3 linked regions of the Canis lupus familiaris genome follow. The protein of the gene in region 1 interacts with the protein of each later gene in a pairwise test. Links are inferred from orthologs where the notes say so. Each region holds a gene or a part of one and is shown in the gene's direction. Other genes may lie near its edges. The genes, in order: NDUFAF3, SNRPA and NDUFAF4.

Region 1 (3,463 bases):
CGAAGACGGTTGGGGTGGGTTTTCCCCAGGAAATGAAAGGCTATCTATAGCGAGTTGTGGGCTGGGGTGGCCCTGTGGGACTCACCGCCATTGCCGCCCTGACTGAAGGCCCTGCGACCGCCCTCCCTTGTCAATGCTACTCCAAGTTCCAGAGATGATCACAACCCAGGCTCTCCGACATCTACGCCCACCACTTCCAGCCTGAGGGAGCCCCTGAGACGGGCGGAGACCAGGGCGACCCAAATAAAATAGGTCTGGGAGTCAGGAGCTGGCCCACCCCATCTAGGCCAGGACGCTGCTCTGGCAGGAGAGCAGGGAACGAAATCCAAGCGCAGCTGGAATGCTCTGGAGACAACAGCTGCTTTTGGGATTCCGTTGCCCGCTGTCCAGCCGTGGGCGGGGGGAGGGAGGGGGCGATAGGTATGCCCCAGCGGGGGTGGTGGTGGTCCCTTGCCCTGGGGCCAGATCAGGACCCCCGATTCCCAGTACCAGAAGACAGACCTAGGAGTGAGGGTAAAACCGAGTGTAGTGGGAACGAGGCGCTCACCTGGGCCCCCAAACACTAGGAAGATTGGTGGGAGCCTCCCCTGGGACCGGTCCCGATCCGGATTAGACCCGCAGGGTAGGATTACGCCTGCTGGTCCCATGAAGCCAGGCCACCGTGCAGTGACGGTGGCAGGGAGGGCTTCGGGATCGACCAAAAGAGAAACTTGCCTGTGGGGCCGGAGAGGAAGTAAACCCGCGCACCCGCCTCGGTGACACCCCGCACCCGGGGCCCTTTGTCCCGTGACTCTGCCAGCGCCCGGACCGCCAGGGGCCCAGTAGCGGCGACGCGACCCACGGGCTCCATTGCGACCGTCTTCCGCTTTGCCGAACCTCCCTCCGCCCACCCCCCAGCCCCGTGGGTAGCAGACGCGTCAACGTTCCCTTGAGGCCACGACACGGTGGGGGCGCGGAGATGCCTGAAACCCGCGCGGGCGCCAGCGACTCTCGCGCCAGTAGGCCCTCTGATTCGGCTCAAGACGGGGGGCGGGGAATTCTCGGCCGCGAGCAGAGTGAGCGACGACAGGGAGATGCTCCAGCCGCTGTCTAGTTCAGTATCTGGTCCTGTCGGCCCGGTCGATCCCACCCGAAAAGCCACAAACTCCCTACTACTGCGTTCCCTTCCGCTGGCCGCGGCCGCAGACTCGGAGCCATTTTAAGGCGAAACCAATCAGCCACGCCCCCTCGCGCTGCCGAGAAGCCAATCCACGCGCAGCCACGCCCCAGGAGACGCGCGGCGGCGACGCCAACGGTCGCGCGGGTGACGGTTAGGGAGGGGCGTGACTCGCTGGAGAGCGAGGGGAACCTGAGCCGGCCGCCCCGCCCTGGGAACCCGACGCCCCAAAGCCTGGGATTAGGGGATTGGAGGCTGGCCCCCACGCCCTGAGCAGGTGTGCGGGACTCGACCAGGTGCGCGGCCGCTCCGCCCCAGTCCCCAAGAGCCCTGCGTAATGGCTGAGAGCCGGGGACCAGGTTGTGGCGGGGGCCGAGGCTGCACTCTGAGGCCTGCCGCGCCACCAGGTGTCTGACTCCCCCAGGACGGTCTGCGGGGGCCCGGGGCGGGGCGGGCGGCAGGTGCAGACACCGGAGCCGCGCTGGGGGATGGGCCCTCCTGGGACAATTGGCATCAGTTGACTCCCTCAAAATCCTGCGCTGGAGCAGCCGACCTGCGCGGTGCCCTCCGGGACGCAGGGGGCGCTGTCGCCACGCCGCCGTGGGCTCCGCCACGACCCGATTGACCCAGCGCCGGCCTCCCTGCAAATTGGTCCGCCATGGTCGCCGCGTTCGTGCTTCGCGGCCTATGCCGAGCGCAAGCGGCGTTGCGCTGCGCCCCAGCCGAGCTGCTGTGGTGAGCGTCCCTGATTCTCCTGCCCTCACCCCTCGGCCGGCGATCGCGGCCCGGCCCCTCCTGGCCCCCTAGGCCCTGAGCATACCCCTCCGCAGGGTCCCACGGCGAGGGCATCGGCTCACGCCGGCGGACGACGAGCTGTATCAGCGGACGCGCATCTCCCTGCTGCAGCGCGAGTCCCCGCAGTCCATGTATATCGACAGCTACAGCAGCCGCGGCTTCATGGTCAATGGAAATCGCGTCCTTGGGCCCTGCGCGCTGCTCCCGCACTCGGTGGTGCAGTGGAACGTGAGCAGTGAGGAGGCGGAGGGCCAGGGTCCCAGGCCCGTCCCCCCGATTCTGTCCCCGGCACACTTGGCTTTTTCATTACCCCTTTGCGGCGCAGGTAAGGGCTCTGTGGGGAAAACTGCGCGAACTTGTGTTTAACCTGCCTCCTCCCAACACAGGTAGGAACTCACCGGGACATCATCGAAGAAAGCTTCTCGCTCTTCTGGTTGCTGGAGCCCCGAATAGGTACTGGTGAAGGGGAGGGCTGAGGTGCTTCCAGCCCTAGAAAGCCAAAAGCCACCCCGCCCCAGCTTCCCCACACACCTGCCATTGGCTAGTGGTGGTCGTCTTTTCCTAGAGATTGTTGTGGTGGGCACCGGAGACCGGACTGAACGGCTGCAGCCCCAGGTGCTGCAAGCCCTGAAGCAGCGGGGCATCGCGGTGGAAGTACAGGATACGGTAAGTCCTGCCACTGGGGAGTGCTGAGCAGGGCCCAGGCCTGGCCTTAGCCAAGCTGATGCAGGCTTTCTCTTTGCAGCCCAATGCCTGTGCCACTTTCAACTTCCTGTGTCATGAAGGCCGAGTAACAGGAGCTGCTCTTATTCCTCCACCTGGAGGGACTATGCTCACATCTTTGGCACAAGCTCCAGAGTGAACCAGCAAGAACTGACCTAACCTGTCCAGGAAGGCCCTGGCACTTTTTCCAGAGCGCAGGGGTTTGCAGCGCTCACTAGCCCTTCCCCCTTTGGCACTGTAACTCTTGTCTTTCTTGCCAGCAAATTAATAATTTAATCCACTTTTCCAATTTTGTATTAGATGTGTTGCTGGCCAGGAGGAGCCACAGGTTCAGTGGGCTCATGGTGGGAGTTGTGAAAAAATCAAGGGGGATCCCCTATTTATCTAGACTACTTAGCTTCTCAGAGGCAGGAGACAGTGTAGGCACCTGTTAAAACTGCAAATCTACCTAACTTGCTCACATGCAGGTTTGAGGGGCTCTCAGTGCTTTCTCCACAAGGTCCTTTGGAGATTCAAGTTAGAGACTACATATGTGGGCCTTAGCCTGGTCCCATGTGGCCTAGCAGGAAGCCCTATCAATGGGTGCCAGTCCAAAGCCCCCATGGACTATTCCATGACCTGTCCTAAGCAGCCACAATGTGAGACTGAACCGTTAGGAGCCAGAACTGGCCAGACCTACCTTGTGAGCTGCTCAGGAGGGACTTTCTGAATCTAGAACTAGTATCTCCTTCCAGATCCAAGGAATATCCTGGCTTCCGGGTCTGAAGACTTTCCCTACAAATGAGTGTT
Region 2 (3,644 bases), on another chromosome or scaffold:
ACAGTGGGGACCCTGCCTTGGAGACATCCACCACTGCCTGTTTCCCCCTCCTCCCCTGTGGCTTCCCGGTCTCTGCTTGGACCCCTGCTCCCCGTGGGCTATTCTCCACACACAGCCCCAGGGCTGCTTCTGGCACACCAGTGAAATCTCACTCTGCGTAAGATACTCCATGGCTCCCAGCTATCTCAGGAAAAAAACCCAAGTTGGACCACCCTTCCCTCTGTGATCTTGTCTCCTCCCTCCTCATCCCCATTGATCTTGAACACACACTGCACACCTTAGTTCTACTGTTCCCTTTACTGAAATGCTTTTCTCTTAACAGGCCTTCCTCCCTCTGTCTCTATGCCAGTGTCACTTCACTGAGGCCTGCCTTAGCCACACTCTGAAACTTTCAATTCTGGGGTTATGTTTTATTTTTTTTTATTTTAAGATTTTATTTATTTGAGAGAGTGAGCAAGCGAGAGAACATGAGCAGGGGGAGGAGCAGAGAGAGGGAGAAGCCATCTCCCCATTGAGCAGGGAGCCCAATGCAGGACTCGATCCTGGGACTCTGAGATCATGAGCTGAGCCGAAGGCAGACACTGAGCCACCCAGGCGCCTCTGAAATTTTCCATCCCCTTTTCCAGTTTTGTTTTTAATCTTTTTCATCATATCTTTCTCACCAAGGAGATCATGAGGGCAGGGACCTTTGATACACTCGTTGCTGTACCCCAGAGTATAGGTTCTCCGTAGACCACTGAGAATCAGCTTTCGCCTGGGAATCTAAACTCCTGTGTGACTAGAACCCCCCTGCATAGTGTTCCTCTCCTAGCCTTGTTTCTTCAGGCATCTGCCTTTGGCCTGATGCTCGGGACTGTCCCATCTTCCCTTCAAAATCCCAACAACTTACTGACTGAATGCCTAGTTTGTGCCAGCTACTGTTCAGAGCACTTAAGCTTATTTAGTTCTTACAGTCCTCCTTTCCAGTGGAAAATCTCAGTTACCATTTTACAGATGAGGATATTGAGGCCAAGTGATTTCCATAACATTGCTCACTGAGCTTCTGGTAAGATCTGCTTTTGTACCCAGGCGATTGGGCCTTGATACACTCCTTAACCTTCTGCTCTTTGTTTGGCAGCGCATTCAGTATGCCAAGACTGACTCGGATATTATTGCCAAGATGAAGGGTACCTTCGTGGAGCGGGACCGCAAGCGGGAGAAGAGGAAGCCCAAAAGCCAGGAGACCCCAGCAGCCAAGAAGGCTGTGCAGGGTGGGGCCGCCGCCCCTGTGGTGGGGGCTGTCCAGGGCCCTGTCCCGGTAAGCCAGGGCTGAGAGACCCTGCCCTCTCTCCCATCAGGCCTTCCTTAGCTGTGTGGCCTGGCGTGTGGGCATGGTGGAGGGTGGAGGTGGTCTCCCCAGGGGTTTGGGCACTCTCCCCTTCCATTTTCTGATGGAAATTGTGCACCTCACTGTGAGGGATTATGCACCTGCGTGATGGAGTCTACATTTGGAAATGGCTTTGTGGTTGCCTGTTTTTCAGATCTTTCTTTCTGTCTCTCTGTTCCTTAGTTTTTTTCTTCCCTTGACTTTGATCCTGTTGTCTATGTTTTTTAAGTTAATGTCTATGCGGAAAACCCAGAAGAAGCCATGAACCAACTTTTTGGGATTAATTAGTGAATTTAATTTAGCAGGGTCATCAGAGAGAAGGTCAGTGTGGAAGAAGTCAGTTTTATTTCTGTGTGCTAGCAGCAAACAGTAGCCTCCAAATTTAAAAATGGCTCAGGAGTAAATCCCATGAAGGGTAAGCAAAATATACTCACTGAAAGTACAGAGCATCTCTGAGAGAAATGGGAGGTGAATTCAGCAAATGGATGGGAGACTCAAAACTTATTAGGAGGGGAAAAATTAAAGAGGAAGACAAACCATGAGAGACTCCTAGCTTTGGAAAATAAAGGGTTCCAGGAGAGGAGGTGGAGGGGGATGGGGTAGCTGGGTGATGAGCTTTAAGGAAGGCACATGATAAGATGAGCACTGGGTGTTATACTATATATTGGCAAATTGGATTTAAATTTTATTTATTTATTCATGAGAGACAGGCAGAGGGAGAGCTGCAGGACTCCATCCCCAGATCCTGGGATCACGACCTGAGCCAAAGGCAGATGCTCAACCGCTGAGCCACCCAGGTGTCCCTGAATTTAAATTTTTAAGAAATACTTACTTACTTACTTATTTATTTATTTATTTATTCATGATAAACACAGAGAGAGAGGCAGAGGGAGAAGTAGGCTCCATGCAGGGAGCACGATGTGTGGGACTTGATCCTGGGACTCCAGGATCACGCCCTGGGCCTCAGGCAGGCGCCCAACCACCCAGGGATCCCCCCTGAATTTAAATTTTAAAACAAACTTGTTAGGATGTCAGTCCTCCAAACTGGCCTAACCCTCAGCACAATTCCAATCAAAATGCCGACAGGAATTCTGGGCATGCTGGCAGTCTTTCCACAGGTATGTGGAAAGGCAAGGAGAATGAAGCAGGGAGGCTGCTGTAGTCATCAAGATGGTGAGATGTTGGCCTGAGGGGAAGAAGAGGGACCAGGTGGCAGAAGAGAGTCCAGAAGTCAGTCCGGTCCACACAGGCATGTTTGTCAGCCAGTGAAGGCACCATTGCGTTCCCGTGGTGAAAGGACTTTATCTTGCTAATAAATGGTGCTGGACGAATCAGATGTCTTTAAGGCAAAGTGTTAGTCCTACCTCAACCATAGAAGTTAGTTTGAGATGAATAGTAGACCTCAGTGTGGCCGTTGAAACAATAAAGATTCTAGAAGGAAACAGGAAAATCTCTTCAGGAACTTTGTGAGGTGGGATCCCTGGGTGGCGCAGCGGTTTAGCGCCTGCCTTTGGCCCAGGGCGCGATCCTGGAGACCCGGGATCGAATCCCATGTCGGGCTCCCGGTGCATGGAGCCTGCTTCTCCCTCTGCCTGTGTCTCTGCCTCTCTCTCTCTCTGTGTGACTATCATAAATAAATAAAATTAAAAAAAAAAATTAAAAAAAAAAAAAAAAGGAACTTTGTGAAGGCATGAGAAGTAGAAACATCCTGTTTTGTAAAACAGAATCGAGAAAGCACGAAGTACTTAAGATAGATGAATTGCCTCTACTCATTTCTGAGTCCCCACAGTGGCTCTGCTGACCGGATTACACCGTACTTGTCCTTTCACTGATACCAGTTCTCACTCTTTGGTGTCAGCAGTGATGTCGGGGTTTCCCTCTGTCTAGTTTCCCTCTTCTTCCCCACTCTCCTCCGCTGCACCCAGCTATATGTGCACCTTTGAGTCCTTAGCGGTGGCTCCAGCTCCAATGGCCCTGTCTCCCTTGGGTGCATGACCTTGTGCCCTTTGGCTGGCTCCCACCTCCCTGCCACCCCTCCATTGCTTTCTCCATCTGTCCTGACTGTCCCTGTCCATCTCTGCCTTCCACTGTCTGCTCCTTTTTTCTCTGTAGGTCTCTTCCCACCCCCACCCCCACCCCCAAGTGTATTTTTGGAAGTAAAACTCCAGCATACTCATTATAGTGTTTATTTTCGCTCTTTTTGTTGACTGTTGTTAGCATTCGATTTTTTCCAGTGTTGTTTTCTTTCTTCTATGTCAACAGAGCTGGACCACACTGA
Region 3 (4,380 bases), on another chromosome or scaffold:
GACATCCATAGAAATCTGAGTATCTGGGCTACAGAGCACCGAGTTACAGGCCTGCTTAAGTCTCAAAGATGAAAATCTTGGAGCAGCCTGCCACCTTCAGGTAAGTTCCCAACTCTACCAGAGAGAACGCGTCAGCTTCTATCCATTCCAAAGGCCAATCCCAGCAAAAAAAAAGAAAAAAAAAAAGACACATTTCATGATAATCGATGGTGGAAGCTATGTTCTTTGCAGTACTTTCACTATGATTAAGTATCGTAGTTAATAATTACATTAATTTTCTTTAAATAAAATTGCCCCTTTCTTTGATTCTTTTTTTTTAAAAAGTACTTTTATTCAATTATCTTTAGATGGATTCTTTCCTTTTCACTGGTTTAAAACCATCCAGGGACGCCTGAGTGGCTCAGTGGTTGAGTATCTGCCTTTGGCTCAGGTAGTGACCCGTGGGTCGCGGGATCGAGTCCCGCATCGGGCTCGCTGCGAGGAGTCCGCTTCTCCCTCTGCCTGTGTCTCAGTCCGTGGCTCTCATAAGTATTTAAAAAATTAAAAAAAAAAAAATAAACCGCAGAGAGAGGACAACATGATTGAAACCGATTCCGTCAAGTCAAATTGCCTGAGCAGAGCGGGATGTGAAAGACCTCGAAAGAAAGAGAACAAGGTAGCTCAGAAGGGCATCAGGCGAGGACGCAGGAACACAAAGGGCATTTAAGTAAGCGTGAGAACAAATATTCGTGGGGCAAGAATACACTTTTGAGATTTTTAAATCATTTTTTAGATCTATTTTGCATTTTATTTATTTCTTTAATTAATTAATTAATTAATTAATTAATGATAGTCACACAGAGAGAAAGAGAGAGGCAGAGACACAGGCAGAGGGAGAAGCAGGCTCCATGCACCGGGGGCCCGATGTGGGGTTCGATCCCGGGTCTCCAGGATCGCGCCCTGGGCCAAAGGCAGGCGCCAAACCGCTGCGCCACCCAGGGATCCCTATTTTGCATTTTAAAGAGGTTTTTATATATTTATGCATGAGAGACACAGAGAGAGGGAGAGACAGAGACCCAGGCCGGGGGAGAAGCAGCCTCCTGCAGGGAGCCCGACGCGGGGCTCGAACCCGGGCCCGCAGGACCGCGCCGTGGGCCGCAGGCAGGTGCCGCCCGGGCTGGGAACCGGCGCTTTCCGCAGCCCCGTCTCCTGGGGCACTTGGCTTCACTTTGGCTCTTCTCCGGCCGCCCCGGCCCGTGGGCGGGTGGACCGCAAGGTCAAGTTCCCGGCCCGCAGTCTCGGCCCGCAGCGTCGGCCCCGCGGGGAGCGAGCGCGCGGCAGCCCCGGGCCGGCGCGCGGGGAGGCGGGACCTGGCTCTGCCCTGGGGCTTCCCGCCGGGGCGCCCGCTCCCTCCCGCACCGCCTGGGCGGAGGCGAGCCGCGCGCCCTCCCGACCGCTGGGGGGCGCGCGGGCGCGTTGGGCCGCCGCTCTTCCGGCGTGGCCGGGTCGGGCCCGCAGCGCGCATGCTCGGTGCGTCCGCGAGGTCGCCGGCGCGCGCTGGCCCACGTGCGGCGGCCCCGGAGGACGTCATGCGGTGAGGAGATGGGGGCCGCCGCGGCTCGCGCGCTCCGCAATTTCAACCTGGAGAACCGGGCGGAACGGGAAATCAGCAGGATGAAGCCGTCGCCCGCCCCCAGGCACCCGTCCACCAGGAGCTTCCTGCGGGAGCAGATGAGCCGTAAGCGGTGGCAGGGCGCGTCGGTCCGCCCGGGGCCGGCTGGGCGGGCTCCGCGCGGGGGTGACCCGGGGCGGCGGCGGGGACTCGGCAGCCCGGCGCGGAAAGGCGGGACCCCAGGCCCGTGCCATTGGGGAGGCCCGTTGCCCTTGCCGCGGAGCGACGGCTCCGCTCACGTCGCGGTTCTGCGGGTGCGGGTGCGGGTGCGGCCCCGGCACCCCTGCGTCTTCCCCGCCTGCCGACCTGCTGCGGGGAATCCGGAAGCGGAAGGGGTCTGGGGCCTTGGAGGTGCCCCCTTCGGGCGTTCGCGGAGCCGGGCGCGCCGAGCCTGACCTGGCGTTTTGATTTACGCGCCCAGCACCTGGCGTGTTGTCCCAGGGCCTCTGGATCAAGCGACAAACTAAAAGGGATCGTCTCCTGTTAGGCGTTGGGAGCTTGGAGGAAATTTTCTCTGGTTTTAATACTGGGACCTTCTTCTTCTGCCCTTAGAGCATCCGGAAATCAAGGAGGAAATCGACAGGAAAGATGACAAACTGCTGTCGTTACTAAGAGATGTGTATGTTGATTCCAGAGATCCTGTATCTTCTCTGCAGGTAACGTGTGTTTTAATTCAGCAGGTAAGGGGCAGCCCGGGTGGCTCAGCGGTTTAGCGCCTGCCTTCGGCTCAGGGTCTGATCCTGGAGCCCTGGGATCGAGTCCCACGTCGGGCTCCCGGTGCATGGAGCCTGCTTCTCCCTCTGCCTCTGTCTCTGCCTCTCCTTCTCTCTCCTTGTGTGTCTCTCATGCATAGATAAATAAAATCTTTAAAAAATAATAATTATAATTCAGCAGGTTAAGTAATTTAACCCCTTGTGCCCCAGGAAAACGACCAGGAGACCTGTGGTAGGTAGTAAAAGAGACTGAATGCTCTGCACGTGTAAAACTGTCAGTGTAGTTGTGACCAGAGTACAGTGTGTTGGGGAAACTTAAGTGTAGGGGTGATATTATTTCACAGTTTATAGGATTTGGTACAGTACTTTTGGTGGTTGTCATTTGAATCACCGAAGAAGAGCTTTAATAACTATTTTCTCAGCCTTCAGTGGATTGAATTTTGTTGCGATCTGCGGGATTCCTTTAGTGTTGTGTTGTCGGTGTTTTTCTTTTCTTTTTTTTTAAAGGTATTCAGATAGGAAATGTGAAAATTGGGCGCCTACAGAACACATTGGGAATAGGAACCTATATATAAATCCATATATAAATGCCAGGCACAAGTGCTTTGTGTATAGTTGTGAGCAAAGCAGACCTAGTCCTTGCTCTTGGTGCTCAGAATATTGTGAGGGACGCAGACAAACAAATGAGCAACCATAAGTACGTAGTTACTAATAGGTCTGTGAAGGAAAAGTAGAGGCACTGTAAGTGTATCAGAGGGACCTGTTTGTGTTTGGTTTGGGTGATTTGAGAAAGTGACATTCAAGCTCCTGCCGGAAAGATGAGTCTGAGTTAACTAGATGAGTTGGTTGGGGCAGGAAGGTCCTAAGTTGGGGGGAGAGTATGATTAAAGGGGAGAGAAGTGCCATTGACAATTCCCAGATTTCTTTCCATTCTAAAATTCTCTGATACCCTCTCTGTCTAGACAGGCAATACTGTTTGCACAGATACACTTATTAATATAATTTTCATTAGATAAGTGAAATAAAATTCATGTAAAATAAGGTCTGTGAATTGTTACATGTAATACCAATTATAGGGCTCATTTATCACCAGATGTTCCCATAAAAAAAGATAGAAGGGTTGATGTTCATGTTCTTTGTGTTGAGTACTTCCATCAATAACAGGTGTTGAGTAATACTTCCAACTGTTGTTTATCTCATGCTGTATTAAATCATGCATTCAAAAATTGGCCCTTGGGGAGTGAAAAAAACTTAGCAGTTTTTATGAATACAGTTACATAGATACAATACATAAAGAGATACACAATGGTATTATAATTTTAGGTGGGAGGGCAGCCCGGATGGCTCAGTGGTTTAGTGCCACCTTCAGCCCAGGGCCTGATTCTGGACCCGGGATCGAGTCCCACATCAGGCTCCTTGCATGGGGCCTGCTTATGTCTCTGCCTCTCTCTCTCTGTCTCTTTCTCTCTCATGAATAAATAAAACCTTAAAAAAATTTTTTTATGGGGGTATTAGGATATTAGGAAAAGACTAAAAAGACTTGGGGGGAATGGCAGTGAAAAAATTGCTGAAGTGTACCTATTTATGTTTTGTCCATTTTTCTCTTTTGGGTAGTTCCTAGTTTTCTTAATGATTTGTGAAGTCTTGAGACATTACTGATATCGTATGTCAAATAATTTATTTTTGTGTGGCTTTTTTAACTTAACTGCTGTTGAGAATTCTGTCAAACATGTTAACCTTTTTGCTCTTCGTCGTATTGGAAGTCTGGACTCTAATAAAAACAGTATTCTGTATTTCTTTGTTGTACTTTTACAACTGTGTGTTTTATATTAAAATCTTTATTTGGCAATAAGTGTAGTGTTTGGTGTGTGGAGATCTTTTTTTTTAAGATTTTATTTATTTATTCAGATTTTATTTATTATTTATTCAGACTTTATTTTATTTATTTATTAAATTATTAAATTATTTATTTTATTTATTTATTCAGAGAGAGAGAGAGAGACATGCAGAAGGAGA

The links.
Region 2: the proteins of NDUFAF3 (region 1) and SNRPA interact in binary tests that used the Homo sapiens proteins (3 or more experiments, as listed by UniProt). The two-hybrid records come from large-scale screens. The link is inferred for Canis lupus familiaris from reciprocal best matches to the Homo sapiens genes NDUFAF3 and SNRPA.
Region 3: the proteins of NDUFAF3 (region 1) and NDUFAF4 interact in binary tests that used the Homo sapiens proteins (3 or more experiments, as listed by UniProt). The two-hybrid records come from large-scale screens. The link is inferred for Canis lupus familiaris from reciprocal best matches to the Homo sapiens genes NDUFAF3 and NDUFAF4.

Annotation. Positions count from the first base shown.
Region 1 is NC_049241.1:40,548,119-40,551,581, reverse strand, and holds NDUFAF3 (NADH dehydrogenase [ubiquinone] 1 alpha subcomplex assembly factor 3), read left to right. Parts: upstream 1-1,308; 5' UTR 1,309-1,814; coding exon 1,815-1,891; intron 1,892-1,986; coding exon 1,987-2,179; intron 2,180-2,337; coding exon 2,338-2,404; intron 2,405-2,516; coding exon 2,517-2,617; intron 2,618-2,696; coding exon 2,697-2,813; 3' UTR 2,814-2,963; downstream 2,964-3,463. UniProt on the Homo sapiens protein: Essential factor for the assembly of mitochondrial NADH:ubiquinone oxidoreductase complex (complex I).
Region 2 is NC_049222.1:113,804,912-113,808,555, reverse strand, and holds part of SNRPA (U1 small nuclear ribonucleoprotein A), read left to right. Parts: intron 1-1,117; coding exon 1,118-1,297; intron 1,298-3,644. UniProt on the Homo sapiens protein: Component of the spliceosomal U1 snRNP, which is essential for recognition of the pre-mRNA 5' splice-site and the subsequent assembly of the spliceosome. U1 snRNP is the first snRNP to interact with pre-mRNA.
Region 3 is NC_049233.1:55,577,898-55,582,277, reverse strand, and holds the start of NDUFAF4 (NADH dehydrogenase [ubiquinone] 1 alpha subcomplex assembly factor 4), read left to right. Parts: upstream 1-1,504; 5' UTR 1,505-1,581; coding exon 1,582-1,717; intron 1,718-2,203; coding exon 2,204-2,331; intron 2,332-4,380. UniProt on the Homo sapiens protein: Involved in the assembly of mitochondrial NADH:ubiquinone oxidoreductase complex (complex I). May be involved in cell proliferation and survival of hormone-dependent tumor cells. May be a regulator of breast tumor cell invasion.